Linked DNA regions of Sus scrofa. The protein of the gene in region 2 binds, or shares a complex with, the protein of the main gene of each other region. Links are inferred from orthologs where the notes say so. Each region holds a gene or a part of one and is shown on either strand. Other genes may lie near its edges. The genes, in order: NOP10 and NHP2.

Region 1 (3,269 bases), on a different chromosome or scaffold from region 2:
TCATGGTTCCTAGTTGGATTTGTTTCCGCTGTGCCACAACGGGAACTCCCTAGAGTTTTTTGTTTTTTTTTTCCCCCTCAGCAGTCAACAACTATAACTTTTCTGCTGGGATGATCGAACATCAGAGTCCAAGAGAAGCACATTTACCCCTTTCCAGGACCACTCTTGATAAATCAGATTTGCGCTTATTTAAGTCACATCTGCTTCTGGAAGCCTATGTAGGAAAAGAAGATTGTACAATTGGATGCAATCTCCAAAAGGCAATTTTAAATCAGTGGCACTAAGAAAACGTTTAAATTCAACGTCAAAAGCCAGAAATGAGAAGATTAGGAAATAGTGAGTCGATTAACCTAAGGAATGGAAAAAGCAAGTTAGCATTAGCATTTCTTTCTTTCTTTTTTTTTGGCTGGAGGCATGCAGTGGCCTGAGATGGGATCTCAGCTCCCAGACCAGGTATTGAACTTAGGCTGCAGGGGTGAAAACGCAGAGTCCTACCTAACCACTAGACCACCAGGAAACTCCCGGATTTCTTGGATACCTGTATACAATATTATGCCTCATCATCCCTCTATTATGAAGTAATCGGATTAAAAATTTGTGATTACCCCATGACAGAAGCTCAAGGCCTAAGACATCCTCCACAATTTAATAAAAATGATCCCTCAAGAGGAGCATGAAAAATAAAAATCCCTGCTTGAATCTCTCATGCCTCATCTTCTAAATTAAGATCCATGTAGAATTCCACATAGCAGACAGAATGTGAAGTTAGGTGTATGTAAGAAGAGAATTCCTTGATGGAAAGAACTAAAGGCCTGGGAATATTTCCACAGGGTCAGTAAACACACATAAAGGCATTCCTATTCACAACGGTTGGCCAAGTGAAGGTGGCTGTTGCAGATGAGTCTTTCTCAAGCTTTCCTCCCTTTCCCCAGCCCCCTCCTATGACTCATAGCATAGCACTACTGCTACAGCAGCCACCAAGAAGTCTTGTATCCCTGGGGTACTCTTCCCTCTCATCTCCCTCGTTTGTTTTTAAACCAATCCTCTCTTCTTACAACATACAAAATAAGAGCTCTTTCAAATCATTTTAATAACATGGCAGTGATTCAAAGTATGAAAAAAAAGATTCAAACTTTTTCCCTTTAAAGGGAATGCTAGCATGACTGCTTCACAACAAGCATGATCAAAGGCAATGATGAGACCGGATTCTAATGAGCAAGGGTTGGAGTAAATCTTCAAGGCTCACAGATCGAAGAGCTTGGTTGCACAGTCTCTTGAGCGCTAGCAGGCAGCATACAATTTTAAGAGATTCTCAAAGGACGGGGCGCGGTTGCTGGGTCATAAGCACCTTGAAGCGTTTCTTGATAGTGATCCGGTGTCGAGAATATTTGTCGTCTGGGGAGAACCGAGCAGGATGGGCCGAGCAAGTCTGTTGTCCCGTGGGGTCGAGCTTCTGCTCGAGGAGGAAAGAGATAACAAATCTCAGTAATGGAGTGGTGAGAAAACCCTATCACTGAGAGTCATGAGAGATGGGGCCTGGGATGGGGAGGGGGCAACGCGGAAAAAGGTAAACATGAAGACAGGACACGCGACGGTCGGATCCAGGAGCCAGACACTCCTGCTTCTACTACGCGTAGCTTCTGGGCTTTCTAGTTCCCCTCACCCAGGCAGGCAATTCACTGGCTTGCCTTGACCGCCCCTCCCAACTACAGTTCTCGTCATGCCCATTTACAACCTGTTTCTTCTCACCTTTAAGGTATAGACCCGGTCTCCCTGCTCGTTGAGATAATACTGGAGAAACATGATCACGCTGAAGCCAGTAGACGCAGGTCCTTCCGCAGCTGCTTCTAACTGAAGGCCTAAAGTGTTTGGCAACTTCCTTCCGGTATAGACGGAAGTCTCGCTCTCAAAGCACGCCGGGAAATGTAGTCCAACTTAGGCCTTTCTCCAGCCGGCCGGAAGGGGGCACTACCGCAGGACTTGGCCAGTTGCAATCCAGTTGCAAACTTGCAGGCGTTATGAGACACGTGGAGTGTGCCCACTGTGTGCTAGGCACTGCTTGGCGTCAGTGGGGGGAAGGGATGGATATAGATTGAACATTAATGAATAAAATCCTGTCTTTATCACAAGATACACACCCATTTCAGAGGCAGTGAGCTTCTATTACCTGGAGAAACCAGGGCTCCAGGACCCAGAACCCCTTTTACTTTAGGGAAGAAAGAAGAAGGTTTTCTTCCCTCCCCTCTTTTACATCCGGTTCCCTCGCCCTATTTCAAAGTATTGGCGGTAAAGAGTGCATGATGGGTATTCAATATTCTGTACAGCGAAAAGAGCGTGAAGTTATTTTATGAAACTGGTGAAGTATGTTTTAATGGTCGAACCAAGATTCAAACTCAAGTCTCTACCACAAATTCAACGCCCATTCTTATAGTGGTGAGTAGCTAATAAGACGCACCCCTTAGGGGTATTTCGAATTTTTAAAAGAACGTACAAATTCTCCTTATAGGACTTCTAGTTAAAGCAATGAATTTGGAACCGAGATATCTTTACGAAGGTGGCCGTTATTATTTATAACGGCAGAAACGTTGTAATATATATTAAGTTTATAACCAGAAAAAGCTGAAAGCTTTTTTAAAAAGAGTATAGTTTGTGTTTATTATAATTGCATAAAATACCTTTGCAAGGATTCAGAGGAAATTTGGTTTTCCCTGGGGTAAATAACTCGGTTCCAGAGGAAAGGAATGGTTGGAGACTTGTTATATTTCATTTTGCATAGTTTGACTTTTGAACCATGCTGACATATTACCATTTAAAAAATTAAGATTATTAACAAAAATTTTAAACAAAAATAACAAACAAAAAGAAGGACTTTTTGCTCTTGAAATTTTAGGCTGAATAGCAGTTTTTGATGGAATGGGAGGCTTTTCAGCCAGGGTTAAGGCTAAGCCTTCTGTGGACTGCAGAGCTGATGGTAGTGGACAGTTTGGGAACTGCAGCACAGCTTTCCAAGGAAATGATATGTATACAGCAATTCAATGCCCTTGATCTTCTAAGACAACCCTAATTTCAAACATTCTGTTCCCTTGATCCTTAAGTACACAGACTATGTGCTCTGAATTTGGTTCAGAAAATACAGCCAACACTGAATTAAGTCAAGGGTTTGCCAGAACCTGTTATTAATAGGAAGTCAGTTATAGAACTGGGTAGCATTGAAAGACAAAAACTAGATGTATTGGTGAAGAATTCTGTAGGGAACCAAGATGTGGTTG
Region 2 (4,537 bases):
CAGCTCCAAGTCCCTAGAACACCTCCTCTGAACACTGTGCCCACCTAATAAGACTAACACATCCAAGTACACCTTCTATTTCATCCCCAACAGCCCATGGAGAAGGGAATTCCCATTTTACAAGAAGGAAATGGAAGTGCAGAGAGGTAACTTATCTGCCATCCCTCATCTAGGAAGGAGCAAAGCCAAGAATCCACCCAGGCCTATCTTTTAACTCCAAAGCTCAGGCTCTTTCCCACTATGATCTGCTGCCACATACCTTATCCCAAGCCTCCTTACCGTCTTAGAGGGGATATAGACGTAGGGCAAATTCCGGTCTTCACACATAACTGGGAGATGGCAGTATACCTCAACAGGTAACGTGTCTCCTGCCAAAACCATGATCCTGAAATGAGAGAAGCCACTGTCATTTCCAGCTTGCTTGTTCCCTCTTTCAGTTATAAGTGCCACCTCTGAGCTGGCCATTGGGAGTACAGAGATGGGTAAGTTGGCTCCTGCCATCAAGGATCCCAATTATTAATGTGTGTCGCCAAACCTCTGGAAGTACGTGCAGATTGGTTTGGGGAGTGCATTCCTCTGGGAGGTGATCTCTATTGCTTGGCAACAAGTAAACCCACCAAGTGTAACAAAGGTATTGGGCTGAGACAGATGAGGTATGGGAGGGATGCCAAGCAGTAAGAGCTCAGAAAAGAAATCAGGAAGCAATACTTGAGAGGAGACCTGAATGATGAACATCGGTCAGGCAGCCCATGGAGGGGATGAGGACAGGGAAAGCATTTTAAGGTCCAGAGAATCAGTGCAGGTTTGATCCTCAGCCTGGGGCAGTGGGTTAGGGATCTGGTGTTGCCATAGCTGTGGCACAGATCAAAGATCACAACTTCGGATTGGATTTGATCCCTGGCCTGGAAACTTCCGTGTGCTGCAGATGCTGCCAAAAATAAAAAAAATAAAAGGCACCTCAAACTTGTCTAAAACCAAACTTGTGATCTTCCTGTACAAACTCAGCCTCTTCCACTGTTCACTCTCTCAGTGAGTAGGCCCTCTGTCCATTCGCCTCGAATCCATACCTCTTCACTGTATGTCCAAAAGTCTTCTCATCCATCCACTTTAATTCTCTCCATCTCTGCCATCACTAACCTAATCAAAATTGCCCTCACCTCTTCTGCACCAAAACAGCCTCCTATCTCAACTTCCCCATCTAGTCTTCCATCTCTTATCCTTCCCAAAGCTTCCAGAAACATCTTCTTAAGGTGTAAATGTAATTATGTCACGCCCTGGCTTTAACCCTCAGTGGCCTCCAAAGCTCTGAGTACAAAAACTAAACTTACCATGGCTTACAAAGCCCCATGAGAGGACAGCACTTCTGCCCACTACTATCCTCTCCTGCCCTGGGATTCACTTTCCTCTGACAGAATGCTCCTCCCTCCCCCACACAAATTCCTAGAACTTCAGACCTCAGCTATCCCACCTAGCATCACCCCCCCATCATTTTTTATATCTTGAGCAACTACAATGTACCACACACTTCTGGAAAGGAAATAAAGCAGTGAGACGGTTCATCCTGTCCTCAAAGAACTTATTTTCTGATATAAGTGAGAGAGAAAGGGAGTAAGAATGTAAATAAGTAAGGAGGTTCTCGTCGTGGCATGAACCGTGTATCCATGAGGACGTGGGTTAGATCCCTGGCCTCTGCCCTTGCTCAGTGGGTTAAGGATCTGGCATTGCTGTGAGCTGTGGTGTAGGTCGCAGATGTGGCTGGGATCCCATGTTGCTGTGGCTGTGAGGTACGCCTGGGGATACAGCTCCGATTAAACCCCTAGCCTGGGAACCTCCATATGCCTTGGGTGCGGCCCTAAAAAGACAAAAAAAATAATAATAATAATAAGATAGAAACGTAAATAAGTTCCTGAATCTGACAAATGCCAAATAGGGAAGATGTAGGGTAATGAAGTCATTCTCACCGCACCCTGTACTTTTTTCCCTTCTGTAGTTGCCTATGACAAGTTGTAATCCTGTGTGGTTAATGTCACTATCTCCTCCTGTAGCAAGTGCCTGAAAAGGGGCAGACAGTAAATAGTGGCTGCATGAATGAAGCTGGGATCTACCTGAAGTGAGTTGGCTTATATGACTGGCTTCCCCTGGAATTCTCTTTCCCCATGGCCGTCCCTTAGAGCTCGTGCAAGTGATGTATTGACATCTGTGCTGAAAGGAATTTACCGACTAATCACCTGAATATCAGGGCAAGTCAGAGCACTTTTACCTACTAAGTAGGAGGGATACTTTCGTCATCGTTTAGAAATGCAAAACCGGGCAGTAGGGGGTTCTTACCCTTTTTCGCCTTTGTTGATAAATTTCTGAACCTCCTTCACCCCGCGCCGAATCTGCTTCTGCTTTACGGCTGCAACGACAGGGGAATCAGCCCCGGGGGCCTTGGGCCACCACCAGCGTCCCCACCCTGCCCGGCGTCCGCCGCATCTCTCTTTTCTAAAATTTTTATTTATTTTCTGAGGCTGTAGATTTTCTTTAAAAAGTTTTTTATTATAGTTGACTTACAATGTTCTGTCAACTACTGCTATATAGCAAAGTGATCCTGTTATATATTTATATACATTCCTTTTTTCCACATTATCCTCCAGCACAGGTGATTAGATATAGTTCCCTGTGCTATACAGCAGGATCTCATTGCTTATCCAATCCAAATGCAGTGGTTTGCATCTGCTAACCCCAAACTCCCAATCCATCCCACCACCGCACCTTTCTTGATGCATTTGTAGAGCTTCCGTGTCAGTTTGCGAGAAGCCAGGGGTTGCGCGATGGGGTTCAGATTCACCAGCAGTTCATGATAAGTGCGCTCCCCGCAGCACGCATCTGCCTGGGCCTCCGGCCCGTCGGGATCTGCCTTTATTTTGGTCATGGCAGCAACTCGGCAACCAAGTGCCCAAGAACCGAGTACACGCGGCCGGCGCTTCAGAAATCGCTTCCGGGTCATGCCCCTCTGAGGGAAGCAGTCAGTACACGACAGCCAATTAGGAACCCAGGTCCCAGACTCTGACCAATCACCGATGCTAAACTCGTTAAATATAGAGCGGGGGGCAGAGTCTCGGCGGTAGGGGCAGGACCATTCCCACAGCTGAGGCGGGGCGGATTAAGGCCGGAGTCCGAGGACCTCTGAGGGAGGGGGCGGAGCCCGGAGGGAGGCGGGGCCTGGAGGAGGAGAAGAGGGACTGGGACGGCTGCCTCGGCTCGTCTGGCTCGTCTGAGAGTTGCGCGTCAACCATACTGGAGACGAGGGGGCGGAGGCTGTACCTGTGGGGGGCGTGACCAAGTCTAAAAGGACGGATCCTAGCTTAAAGGGCGGGTTCTGCTACCAGAGGTCGGCCCAGTGTGATTCCACACCTCCTTAGAATCTGATCCCTCCAATGGGCAGTGCCGAGCCTGGTCAGGTCCCGGGTCCAGAGCCGGTCCTGGTGGCGTATACCCTAGGTACTAAGGTTAAAGTAAAGCCTTAACTTAATTGATAACGATTTCTTCGTTCTAGCACGATTTCTCACGCTCTGCTCTCTTTCCTGGTAAGGGATGGCCCCATTCATTGAGTGCCTCGATCTGGACCGCTTTTCCCCAGAGAGCCGGTGACTTTCTTTCCCGCCCTTCCCGCAGAGACCTGCTCAGGTGTTACCCATGTGGGAGATTTTCCTGACCACACTTAACCTAAAATTCCAGTCCTTGGGAGTTCCCTTGTAGCGTAGCTAGTTAAGGATCCAGTGTTGTCACTGTTGCTTCTGTGGCGCGGGTTCCGTCTCTGGCGGCGGGAACTTCCACTGGCATGGGAAAAAAAAAATTGCAGTTCAGGCTCACCTTGCATCGGCATCCCCTAACCCTCTGTTTTCCTCATCGTTCCTACCACTGCCTGGCATCACGCACAGGGGAGGCATTGCGGAGACAGCGGGAACTGCAGAAGAAGGCTTGAACACTGAAGCTGAGAAGTTGGGGCGTCGTGGGGAGAGCTCTGAGTAGGCACTCTGTGTGTAGTTATCTGTAGAGGATTAGTGGATGGTGCCGCTGGAGAGGCAAGCAGGCCTAGACCAGGGTGGATCTTGTACCTCTGCCTTATTTCTTGTGTCCTATTGGGTGGATATTAATTAGATCGTTGCTGTAAGTCAGTTGCCTTGATCATGCGGTGTTAGGCCCTCCATTTTTGTGGTGGTGGAACAGCCCAGAAAGTGGAAATTTTTTTTTTTTTTTCTTTTTAGTGCTTCACCCACTGCCTATGGAAGTTCCCAGATTAGGGGTTGTATCAGAGCGGTAGCCACAGGCCTACACCACAGCCACAGCAATGCCAGATCTGAGCAGCGTCTGTGACCTATACCACAGCTCACGGCACAGCTAGATCCTTAACCCACTGAGCGGGGGCCAGGGATCAAACCCAAGTCCTCATGGATCCTAGTCAGGTTTGTTATAGCTGAGCCATGATGGGAACTCCTGAAAGTGGAACTTTAGAAGTCTGCAGGTGGCTTGCCAGCGCATGGCAGTCAAGCCA

Evidence for each region.
Region 1: NHP2 (region 2) and NOP10 share a complex: the UniProt entries of both Homo sapiens proteins name them as parts of the H/ACA small nucleolar ribonucleoprotein (H/ACA snoRNP) complex. The link is inferred for Sus scrofa from reciprocal best matches to the Homo sapiens genes NHP2 and NOP10.

Annotation. Positions count from the first base shown.
Region 1 is NC_010449.5:80,159,665-80,162,933, reverse strand, and holds NOP10 (H/ACA ribonucleoprotein complex subunit 3), read right to left. Parts: upstream 1,911-3,269; 5' UTR 1,804-1,910; coding exon 1,750-1,803; intron 1,454-1,749; coding exon 1,313-1,453; 3' UTR 635-1,312; downstream 1-634. UniProt on the Homo sapiens protein: Required for ribosome biogenesis and telomere maintenance. Part of the H/ACA small nucleolar ribonucleoprotein (H/ACA snoRNP) complex, which catalyzes pseudouridylation of rRNA.
Region 2 is NC_010444.4:80,221,890-80,226,426, reverse strand, and holds the start of NHP2 (H/ACA ribonucleoprotein complex subunit 2), read right to left. Parts: upstream 2,989-4,537; 5' UTR 2,915-2,988; coding exon 2,755-2,914; intron 2,399-2,754; coding exon 2,329-2,398; intron 386-2,328; coding exon 280-385; exon of another isoform or gene 1-279. UniProt on the Homo sapiens protein: Required for ribosome biogenesis and telomere maintenance. Part of the H/ACA small nucleolar ribonucleoprotein (H/ACA snoRNP) complex, which catalyzes pseudouridylation of rRNA.